Xenopus tropicalis: one gene and its partner. Each later gene encodes a partner of the first gene's protein in a complex. Links are inferred from orthologs where the notes say so. Each region holds a gene or a part of one and is shown on either strand. Other genes may lie near its edges.

Region 1 (6,599 bases):
TGTAATTCTAAACAACTTTCTAATTTACTTAATATACATGGTTATATTTATTGCAAATGCTTTTTTAAAAATGCTATAAGGAGTTATCTGCCTACATTTTCTGTACTTTGTCAAAAGCAAGCCGAAAAAAACCTGACCAGTTACTTTGTCGGACCTAAGGAACAGGGTAGGAAACACTGCTTTTGATCGCACTTACATTTACAAATGATTTTTTTTTTTTTTTTTTTTAAGGATTGTCATGATTTTTATGGTATACTTTTATTCCCACATTACACTGTTTACATAACAAATAATTCACTCTACCATTTAAAATGTTATTCTTCAACCAACAAATGCATTTTTTTTAGTTGCAATATAGGTGTGTAGGCGCCATTTCAGTGCATTATGCCAGAGTCTGAGCTTTCAGAAGGAGCCAACCCTACACATTAGAACTGCTTTCAGGTAACCTATTGTTTTTCCTACTCTCATGTAACTGTAGGAGTCCGAAGATGGACTTGGATTTCTTACTGCCATTCTAATATCTACCACTTTTAGGGTGAAGACACATCAGCAATTAGTCACCACAACATTTAAAAACCCGCCGCAACCAATTGTGTTTTCGGCGTGGGGACTAATCGCCCCATGCGTCTAAACCCTTTGCAATACAGACGTCAGGGAGCTGCCTTTCCATGATTCTTTTTCTCGTCCTCGAAAATATAGACATGGCTAGCCCCCCAGAATTCCTTTAAAATTAAGTACTGGAATTTTTATTTTTTTTTTTAATATGGATTAAAAAAAGATTTTGATTAGAGATCCACTTTAAAATTATTTTCATATTTTGAATCTGCTGTTTATGTTCCATTTACACTTATCACTACATATGTTAAACCAGCAAGCTGTGCAAAAGCTCACCTTTAATCATTACCATCTGCTTTATACACCACACAATGACCAAGTTACATACCTACATATTTCTTCTCAAATTCACCAGTCAAGTGACGTTTCACAAAGGTTGTTTTACCGGTACCACCATCCCCAACCAGAACAAGCTACAAAGAATAATAATATTAGAAAACATGCAGCACAAATTCCTAATAACTTTAAGGTTTTTTTTTTTTGTTTTTTTACCTTAAACTGCACTTGAGGTTCTCCTTGGGCTGCCATGGTATGTTTGTCAGCCTATAAAAAGAGGAAAAAAAAGTAACAGAATTCTTACTGTCAGCTGCAAGATGTATAATAAGACTACTCATTCCCCAGAACATTCAGCTTTAGCATAGTCAGCCCACATCACTTGATCCTCCCTCACTTTTACACCTCTTATTCATGAATGTTAAAGGAGCATTGTGTAAAGAGAAAATAGTTGATACTGTAGGTTTCATCTTACACTGTTTACTAGGAATTCTTGAATGACTCAGTGGTTAAAAAGGTAAAAATCATGGGAGGGTGTACATTTGCTAGAACTCACCAATGGTTCTAATCTATCATGGGCTAGTGGCCTTCCTCTAAAAAAAAAAAATAATGCACCAGCATGCCTTACTTTACCTTCCTAAACATTCCCTGTGACACCACAAAAAGCAGAAAAAAAGATGGAGTGGGGGTCAGAATTACATCATGCATTTTTATTTTTTGTAAATGAGCACTAATGAGATAGGTTAGTGATTAAAGTCATTGGGTGCCAGTTGGCAAGACATGCCCCCAGTGATTCCTAATGTTCCAGTTGAGTGCACACAAATTAAAAAAAATATACTTTATAAACTGATCAACTGCCTTACACAGTACATATCTTTACACCATACAAAGCGTTAAGGCCATTGGACATTCAATTACATATATGGGTGCAGTAAAGTCATTCTAATAGACCTTTAACGTTTTCCCATGAACCTGAACAACTACCCAACTGACCCATGGGAAATCAAAGACAGTCACGTGTTCTCAAACAACATTTCTCGCCAGCAGAGCAGGGAAATACATGTATGGGTAATAACACAAAATGAACCACTTTCTGAAGCTGCTGTAAACCAAAAGCTCACAACATAGTGCATTACATGGCGCCAAACAAGCAGCCAGAGCTGGAAACCACCATCACAATTTGGGCTTAAGAGCGACAAAGCATAGAGGCTGGAGCAAAGCTTGATGGCTTATAAAAATGTGGGGCGGAGCTACCAGCTAAAAACACACACAGTTCTGCCAGAGCTGTGATGCCATCTTCTGAAATGTCCCAGGTGCCTTGTGGTCATCAGGATTGCACACATCAACTGCGGTTGGACCCAAAAAGACTGCTGAAACATTATAGAACACAGTGGCATGGTTCTGGTACTACTAAGCGGTCAGAAAGAACTGACCTGGGATTTAGAGTTAACCCCCCGTGACTGCAATTGCCAACAAATTGGCACCCCCAATCCTTTCTCTTTTCACTGTCCTTTAAGACACTTATCTTGTGTATTAAAGCATTGGTTTGGTATGCCCAACAACCTGGATGCCTGTATTTGCTTAAAAGGTATCTAAAACCAAAGACTTTTCAAATACACAAAGCTTAGATCCAGTTTTCATCCCTTTCTGCTCTCTACCTCTGGCTCAAACAAAAATGTCAGTTTCTGTCAGGCCTGTTAGGCTAAGGACAAAAGCAGAGTTTCTTCAACAGAGGGAAAAAGATACTGGCCCATGTGTAGTGTTATCAATACCAGCCATTTATATGTACACTTGTGCCAACATCTGCCTATAAACAGAGCAACAGGAAGTTACTGCCAACATCACTGCATAGCAACAGTACAAAAAACCCCACAGGATGTGCAATTAGCCTTAATCAGCTTGCATCTGCCAATATCACAAAAAAGTGTGTAAGTATATAAGAAAAGTAGCTTCTAATTAAATGTTGTTTTCTTTGTAAAAATAGAGCTTTGGGTTGGAGTTTCCGTTTAAGTAAAACTTTGTGTGCCAGAAGTTAGAGGCCCACGTGTGAGGAATAGCTGCAGCGCATTGGCTCAGCGCAGGTACCAGCAGGCGGAATAGCACGCAGGCCAACCCACCCACTAAAGCTTGTGGAAACAACTGCCCATCGCTGCCAATGCCATTTTGGTTACGTGACAGAACAATGCCAATTTCACGCCTGACAAAGTTGGGTCCCACATGACAATTAGTCACTGGGACCAGGATTAGTGGATTAAAAAAAATCCATTCTCCGTGCTAACTATCGGCTGACCCATAAATGTTTGTCTCAACTAGCAAGCTCCGGCCAATACATAATCTATCGGCCACCCCTCCACCCCAGCTAAGTGGTACCTTCCCGCAAGCTAGCAGGCCTAGGAGAGCAGGGCGGTGCGGTTAATAGAACAAGGCCGGGGATGCTAGCGTCGCGCCTCAGTGACACATGAGGTTCCGGGGTGAATGAGCGCTAATGGCGGGGACGCGCTTCCTGCGACGGCCTGCTTCCCGGTTTCCCCGCAAACTACATAGGTTTTAACTAGTCTGCCTTTACTTAACAGCCACAATATTGAGTATGTATAAACCCGGCCTACATGGCACTTCATGGGACTCGGCCTAGTACAAGTCATGTTTATCGCGCCTGATACTGTCTAGTCACCGGCGAAATAAAAAGAAGAGGCCACACAAACGAGAGAACTCGCCCACTGATAATTAGCAGAATACGTGTAGCCTCTGCTAACAGAACATCCCAGCAAATTACATAAGGAACTAGCAGTGAAGTCCCATAAAGAATGTAGCGCCATGGAGGAAAAAAAGCGCGCCAACATATAACTCCCCCCGCCTCTCATCAGGCTCTCAGCCCCGCTTTTCCCTTACCGACTAGAATCCCTCTCAAATCTACCGTGCCCGGCCGCACGATTAACCAGCGAGTGCTACAAGAGCTTCGGGACGCTTTGCGAATAGGGATGGCCGAGATGTCGGGCGGATTATGCGGCAGGGCCCAGCCTATATCTCCCACGGGTTAGAATCTCACCTTCCAGAAGCGTCTGTAAAGCAGCGAGAGAAAATGGCGGAAGCGGGATTCAAATAGCAGGGCGCGCTCTGGGAGGGGCGGTGACGTGGGAGGCGATGACGTCAGTGCGGGCAGTGCAAGCAGCAGCAATGCGGCGGGCGGGAGTGCGGGGAAAGGCCTATAGGCGGGAAGGTTTGAATGAAAGGACTTACGTAAGGGCTCCGTGTAGCGCGCCTCTTCTGGCGCAGCACTAACAAAGGGCTATCTGCAGCGTGTCATGTACAAATGGCACATTGTTTTACGTTTTTACGTATGTCAACTGATAGAAGTGGGTTGCACTGAGGAACACAAAGGGAAAAATGGCATAAGCTCCGACTCTGTGACTCTACTACCATCAAGAGTTTAAATACCGGGGAATTCCCTACCAGTCATTTGAACTGAAGAAGCCACTCGGATTAGTGGTGAAACATTTCAAGAAAACTCAGAAAAAGTCCAGTTGTTTTAGACTTAATTCTACTAGATACTCCGAGACCATGCTTTATGCGTTAATAACGTTTTGCTGTTGAAGGTGAACACTTTAAACCCTCAAAAACAATATATGCTTTTTTTTAATTCAATTTAGCAACACGATATAAGCTAATAATTACATTTTACATAATACAGACATACTGTATATCAGAAAAAATTCATTTTATGCCTGAAGATACAACTGATTTGGAATGCCCTGTATCTACTGACTGTCAACACAAGATTTGTATAGTTTCATAGAATTGTTTGACTTGTATGGGCCAAAATATCAGCAACACAGTAACAAAGTACCCAAACAAACCATACATATTTTTAAAGAATACATTATGGCAAATCCAAAAGCCATGAATATCTCTCAATACTCTAAACTAGCCAACTGCAATCCTTTCCTTAAGTTAGGGATTTTTATAACAATTTCTGGAATTTTGAAAAATTTGCACTAAACCTTTCCCATTTGAGCATCTTATTTCCTACATGAGGTATCAATATAAAACACCCCAAATATGAACATCAGGGCTCTACTTAATATTAACACATTCTCCCAAATCCAAATGAATATGTCTTTCTACTCCAAACCACAAACCCTTCCTGAATTTGGTGGTTTTTATTACATTTTGGAAAATCACTTTAAAGCTTCCACTTTGTAGCATCTTATGACAATTCGCGAAAAAGTCGCAAAATACCGATCATTACGAAAAAAACGCCTTCGGACACTTTTCGGACGTTCGTGGATTAGTAAATGTGCCCCCAGGGCTCTGCTAAACAGTTTGATGTCCAATGTGAGTAAGTTTACCAAAGTATGTGGCATATAGGGGCCCCAAAATTAAATACCCCATGTGATTTATCATTGCTCTTATTTTAGTTACTGCAAATATCAACACCAAGAGGCACATTTATCAAAGCATGATGACCACAATTGCAAAAATTATGTATATTTTTTCTAATGTTTATAACTTTTCATACTGATCACAATAATATCGTTAAAATTCTGCTACCTTTTCTCGTTTTGCGTAAATTTTTACGCAGAAGTCGTATTTTTCGCAATGACTATGAACTTTTTGGAATTCATTCAACTTTGGTATCCTGACTATCTTTTGGCCAGGTTGGAGCTGCAGAGTGCCATTGAGTCCTTTGGAAGGCTTCCAAAATCATGCATCGAAGTTTCAAAGTCAGAAAGGTTCTTGCGACGTTTACGATCATTCGGATACGAAAATTTAGTAACTTTCAGATCGCAACCACAATATTTTCGTACAACCAAGACAAAAAATTTTTGCGCAATTTATGCACATCAGAAATTTGTGCTTTGATGAATGGGCCCCCAAGGGTCTGCTGAACAGTTTGATGCCCAATGTGCATAGATTTACCAAATATGTGTCATGGGGGGACCCTAAATTTCTGCAAATGAAATTTGTTGGCTGCCAATTCAGCTTCTGCAAACAAAGAACCCTGACTCCCTAACAGTACAAAGACTGCTCAAAACCATATATATATTTTTTTTTTTTAAATCACCTAAAATATCTTACAAATTGCCACATTTATGTCACACTGTCAGATAAATAGTTTTTAGGGGAGAAACAAAAGACAAAGGGGCACATTCATTAAAGTACGACAGGTCCGATTACAAAAAAATCATACTTTTTCAAAAGATTACAACTTTTGCGTATTTTGTATGATATTTTCATTAATTTGCGTGACTTTTTTGTACTTTGTGTCAATTTACGCAACAAAATCGCATTTGTCGCAACGAGTACGAAAGTTTTGGATTCATTCAAGCTTCAGTATCGTGACTTTCCTTGGGCCAGGTTGGAGCTGCAGAGTGCCATTGAGTCCTATGGGAGGCTTCCAAAATCATGCACTGAAGGTTCAAAGTCAGAAAAGTTTTCCCGCTGTTTACGATCGTAAAAATTTCATGACTATCGGATCGCCATTCGCAAACAATCGTTTCAATACAAAAATTTCAGAACCTTCGGATCGTAAGTACGATATCTTCCTATTCAAATGAACAGAATTTTCATGACTTTTGCAAACATCAGAAATTAACGGATTTCGTGATTCGGATTTGTACTTTAATGAATGTGCTCCTAAATGTTAAAATCAAGACCTTATTAAACGTTAAGAAAAGTGAGCTTGTGTACACATGTGTGGTTATGTGTATATG
Region 2 (5,563 bases), on another chromosome or scaffold:
ATCTTCATTACCACTGGAAACTAATCTCCCCACAATATAAATTGCCGGTGGGATGGCATACGCGTTGCTATGATTTCCCAAAGTTGCCTTTCAAGGAAACTTTGGATGACTTTGGGAAATCGTAGCGACGGGTATGCCATCCCACCGGCGATTTACATTCTTGCCAGTGGGATGGAATTGCGGGGAGATTAGCCGCCCGTGGTAAAGAAGATTTGTCGCAGGGCGACTATCTCCGTGTGCCACTGCCCTAAGGGTGAAGACACACTGAGCTACTTGAAGCAGCTACTTTTTCACAGCTACTAAACACCAGAAAATACTCTACCACACACGTAGAGACAGTTAACAGTAAATGATCAGCATTGTCTTTTTTAGTAGCCACGACAAGAAGCTGCTACTAATTGCTCTGTGTGTCTTCACCCTAATTACTTTTACTAATTACTTCTAACTACTTTTTTTTTTTGCCTATTTTAGTAACTCATTCAAACCACTACCACCAAAAATACAAAATGAAGGCCACTTGAACACTGTCTTCATTATACTTAAAAATAACATTAAGGTAAACATTCCTAGCATATTTCCCCCATATGTAAACATATGGGATAAGGACAAGGTTTTCTATATTACACTCTCAGCTTTTAATAATTGGACTTAAGGATAAGTAAACCTTAAAAAAAATTGTGTAAAATTGCTCAGGGTAAATAAAGTGTTCTGATACTGCTCTGCCCAGGAAGGAGATAGAAAAAGGCATCGGAGGCTTCTGATCTTTACCATAAGCAGAGCAACATAAGATCATTTCTCTGTTTTCCTTCTGAAGGTGTATCTCTTTGACTGTAGCAATTGACCAACAGTTGGTGCTGTTGTACCAAAATTCATTATATTATTATTATATTAATAACAAGAATAATGTATGATTCCAGTCTAAAGGTGGCCATGCACGTAGCAATTCCGATCTTTCGTCACAGGAAGGATTGTTCGTTTCCCCCGCAGACGTTCAGGGCTGAATCATCAGATGTGGAGGTAGAAACAATAGGAATTCTACCTCTACCTGCCGATTCAGCCCTGAACGCAGATTTTGTTTGGACGCCGTCAAAATCATTTGTCCTGGTCAATTGGCGAGACAACCGATATCCGCAGTCGTCTCGTCGATCTGCCATACACGCACCGAATATTGTACAAAATGAGGTTTTGTATGATATCATCGGTGGATGTATGGCCAGCTTAACTGTAAAGGTAAGGAAGTAAACAAAGAACAAATATGGAAATGGAAAAATTGGCAGAGATTATGAGCAAAGAAAATCTACAAAATGGTTAATCATCAGTCTACTAGTCTTCATTAGTATTAGGTAAATTCTAATATAAGGCATTTTTCTATTTAGGTATGCCAAGAAAGCCAAACTTTTTAAAAAAAAAAAAAGTTCCTAAGGACTGGGCTGTTAGTTTTTTGTATACATCATTATTTGTTTTTAAGGTTTACTTATCCAAAGTATTTGGTACACTCTTTTATTCAGGCTTCCAACAGTGGATGAAGAAAGCATTAGTGCTGAGAAAAGGAACATACACTTTTATTAACAGTTATAGTCTCCAGCCATTGGTATATCATATATACTATCCATTGGAAAACCTGCAGCTCTCTGGTCATCCAGAAATAATAGGAAAATATTAAATATAGTCAACCCTGGGCCAATCAGTAAATACATCTCTACCAGTCCACCCTATCAACCATTTAATATGGTCATCAAAAGTTATTTAGTTCTCTGCTATCAATGGGCCACTAAAGCTTAGCTCTGCCTTTGTTCTTAAATCTTCCCTAGCCTTTCCTGTCCTGGCATGTCTAGATATCTGTGCAGAATACAAATGAATGGCTAACTGACCAAGATGTTGGGGCTTAATGGGACATTCAGGTGGTACAGTCTCATGGCACTGGAGACATGACCATTCAGAAGAGGCGACAAATGAGAGACACCAAACAAGAGCCTGGGGGAAGGACCAATCCCAAATGGTACAAAAAGATACCAAAGGTATACTTCTGTATAAAGCACAATTAGGCAAATGCAGTTACTGTGTTAAGTGTCCCTTTAAAAAGGTCAATAAATGTATGAGAACTCACAAACTAAAAGCTAGAAAACAATCAGTTATTTGCTTTCTCATCTGAAGCATTTGCTGCAGAACTTTCTTCACTGGATGAGCCCCCTGGCTTGCTTTCTTTTTTCTTTGCTGCTTCTGCTGCTGCATCTATTGCTGCATGTTCCTTCTTTACTAATTCTTCCAATTCAGCCTGCATATAAAAATATATTAAAGAAATTCTCTGTAGGAAAATCAAAATTTTACCAGCATGGCTCTTTTTTTTTTTATATACCGGTACTTTTTGTTGCACTCGAAAACCAAATAAATCATTTAAAATACAAAATATCCAAATCTTAATTGGGTGCCGAAAGCATCCTACTGTCATAAGATAGCTGAACACTCTATAACAATAATAACTTATATAACTATATAATAATAACTATATAAGGGGCAAAACAGTTTGACAAGGATAAAAAGAGATAAAAGGCCCCATGCAGAACTTGATAAATTATATGTAGCTGCCACTTTTCACCAGCAGAAGAATGTATTTTTTTTCTTGTTAATAATGTTGATGCATTAACCACTTTTTAAGAACCTCCATATAGTTTTATCTTCCTTATTATTACACGGTATCTACTATTTATGACCCATGCAATACATCTTAGGCTCCTGCCAGACCTGGCGGATTTTCAGCCTGTGCATAAACCCAGGCCAAGAGTCTGCCCTACGCTCCTAAAAGCTTATTGTTGTGCCTGCATCCAGAGCCACTGTGTTGGCCCGTATTAAACAATTTCAGCTCTTAAAGTTTGCAGAAGTAGATTTTTGCCACCCCTGGTAACTTGTGGGGAACTGCTGCCCGAGGTACGTTTCTTAACTCATCTCATTGCAGCAGCACTTCTGATAACATACCTTCTCCGTGCATTCATTCTCATGTGGTTTCTAAATCACGAGTAGCTCAATTGCAGCTCTTTCAGCTACTTCCTAGTATAGCGTGAAGCTCCACCACCTTCTCTCTTTGACTGTTAAGTTGGTCAGAGAGGTGCCTTCTGCACATGTATGTGTTTCAGTTGGAGCAGAAGTCACAAGCATGTGCAGTAGGCGCATCTTGACCATCTTTACAGTCAAAGAGAAAAGGAGCTTTCAGAAAAGAAATGGGGGCAAAGCTTCACACTCACTGCTTGTGACTTAGAAACCACATGAGACTGAATTCAGGAAGAAAGGTATGTTATTCTAGGGGGTATGTTATTCTGTTTAGAGTCTTTTAGGGGATTTTAAAGTAAAAGAAATAAAAGGCTTACTTATCCTTTAAACTATATACAAGCTCAGTTTGCCAATACCTGGGATAATGCTTGTACTGGATTAAAAATACTTTTAACTAATTCCTTTTCCTATCACTAAAAATAAACAGACGATATGACACCACAGTCTCAAGACTTGAGACAAAACATACTATTAAAACTACCAGGTTTATTGCATTATCTTTAGCATATACTATACCTTCCACCCCAAGAAATCAGCTAGTGCAAGGCAGCCATCATCACAGTCTCCAAGCCATGCAACGTCCCTAAAATCAAACATAGTATTAGTGTTTCTTAACCTTAGCAAACAATCGAAATATTTAAAGTTAGTATCATATTATTCAAGGGAGATTAACAATTTTACTTGAAGGAAAATATGTTCTGAATGAAATGGAACCAGCAGATCGGCAGCAGGGTGCCACCAGGGCCAGGACTAGGGGTAGGCAACACAGTGGCATAATGATTTGAATTGATGATTTGCTTCCTTACACAACAATCTGTGGGATATATGCCCTTAGTAATTGTTACCACACAGCCACTGAATCCAGCCTCACAGGGCTTTATATTGTTGGAGTGGTTAGTGGATGGAAAAAACATTGGAAGGTAGAATTATAAAAGACCAAATTGGATTCCTCACATTTTCCTGATTTTTTTTTTTACAGCAATTCAATCTTATTTACATTTATGATATTTTTCCTGTCCTTCTGGAATTATTTGAACAATTAATCAAACCATTTTTGCATTTCTGCCACAGGATTTTTGCCAGAAAGAGAATGAGCTTTGAACTCCATTGCTTCGACCTTTGCAGCTGGTTTTTGTGTGACAACTCGAAAATGTCGATTTTATTGTGTAACAAGTCATAAAAGTTAAACTTTTCGCGGCTTTTTCACCTCAGACTTTGATAGATGTCCGACATTTGTGAAAATGAGTTTATTTGTGGTTTAAAAAAAAAAAAAAAAAAATAGAACAAGATAAATTTACATTTTAGTAAATCTGCCCCTTAAAGTCTTCCTCAGCATAATTATATTATTTAGTGCAAACAACAATATTTTCCATTTAACTGGCGTTCAAGATTACCTGTATGCTTTCTCAGAATCAAAGTCCATGCCTCCTCCAAAGCCAAAAACACTGAAAAATGGGTCACCCTAGAATAACAATAATTAGAAAAACACAAAAATAAATAGAAGGTATGCAGGTGACTTAAGAACAAATTAAAAGCATTGTCATAACATTAATTGCTTCCCTAAAAGTTTAAATCAAGTTCATAACTTACCTGTCCTGCCAGCTCCTTGTTTATTAGAAGTCTAGGGGTCTTACTAGACACTCTGTAATAAAACAATAGGTGAAAGGTTAATTCATCACCTACATTTGGCACTTACATGCACTTACAGCCCCATTAGGAAGAATCGTTGCGTTTCTTCCTGCACTCCCCTGCAGTGAAACCCATGAGAATGCCACCGCAGGGAAGTGCAGGAATTAACACTCATCAGTACTAGCCCTTAAATTAGAAACAAGGCTAGATTCAACTAAGGTATAAATGGATACTTGTAGCTGGCTGCAAATACTGTGTTAAACCATAGCTGAGCTGCTTACAAAGAGTACTTTGCCTCACAGACAAAAATCCATTTGTAGACAGCTAAAAGTAACGTTAATATATCTATTTTTATATTGTAATTGTATGTATGTGTCTTTATACTGAGTATAGATAGATGTATATATTATATATATATATATACAGTTACAGCAGGAGTGACTTACTTGCTGACAAGAGATGCAAATGGCTGAACTTGCAGAGAGGTTCCCATCACTATGAGCAGATCAACCTTGGGAAAGTCCTTATTTAAGAGTAAGAAACCTTATTAAATTAAGTTATTATTAATCTTTATATAGCACCGACACATTTTGTAGTGCTTCCTAACACATTCACACACTTGGGTTAACTTAATTTGAAGTCAATAGACTTGGAGTGTGCAAACACAAACAAACATGGGTACAAGATATAGACTCCTTGCAGAAAGTGCCCTGGCTAAAATTGAAACCTAGGACCCTAGCACTGCAAGAATAAGAAAATTCTGCATAGCTTGCACACAAAAAAGACAGGCATACAGGGTGCGTTAGACTGGAAAGGGAGGCTGGAATGTAACTGCAGTGCAGGGCTACAAGTCTGGAGATTTAGGACATAAAATAGAAAACAAGAAATG

What was found. Proteins that work in one complex are often made in the same cells at the same time.
Region 2: the proteins of ran (region 1) and sirt2 are in contact, whole or in part, in a crystal structure (PDB 5FYQ), measured with the Homo sapiens proteins. The link is inferred for Xenopus tropicalis from reciprocal best matches to the Homo sapiens genes RAN and SIRT2. Residues at the interface, in NP_006316.1 of Homo sapiens: Phe35, Glu36, Lys37, Lys38, Tyr39, Val40; in NP_036369.2 of Homo sapiens: Phe96, Arg97, Glu116, Phe119, Gln167, Ile169, His187, Ile232, Val233, Phe234, Phe235, Gly236, Glu237, Ser238, Leu239, Phe244, Gln265, Val266, Gln267, Pro268.

Annotation. Positions count from the first base shown.
Region 1 is NC_030677.2:157,742,112-157,748,710, forward strand, and holds the start of ran (GTP-binding nuclear protein Ran), read right to left. Parts: upstream 4,091-6,599; 5' UTR 3,935-4,090; exon of another isoform or gene 3,778-3,934; intron 3,390-3,777; exon of another isoform or gene 3,259-3,389; intron 1,159-3,258; 5' UTR 1,144-1,158; coding exon 1,108-1,143; intron 1,029-1,107; coding exon 944-1,028; intron 1-943. UniProt on the Homo sapiens protein: GTPase involved in nucleocytoplasmic transport, participating both to the import and the export from the nucleus of proteins and RNAs. Switches between a cytoplasmic GDP- and a nuclear GTP-bound state by nucleotide exchange and GTP hydrolysis.
Region 2 is NC_030678.2:55,098,798-55,104,360, reverse strand, and holds the end of sirt2 (NAD-dependent protein deacetylase sirtuin-2), read right to left. Parts: intron 5,198-5,563; coding exon 5,121-5,197; intron 4,688-5,120; coding exon 4,636-4,687; intron 4,508-4,635; coding exon 4,440-4,507; intron 3,629-4,439; coding exon 3,562-3,628; intron 2,276-3,561; coding exon 2,129-2,275; 3' UTR 1,405-2,128; downstream 1-1,404. UniProt on the Homo sapiens protein: NAD-dependent protein deacetylase, which deacetylates internal lysines on histone and alpha-tubulin as well as many other proteins such as key transcription factors.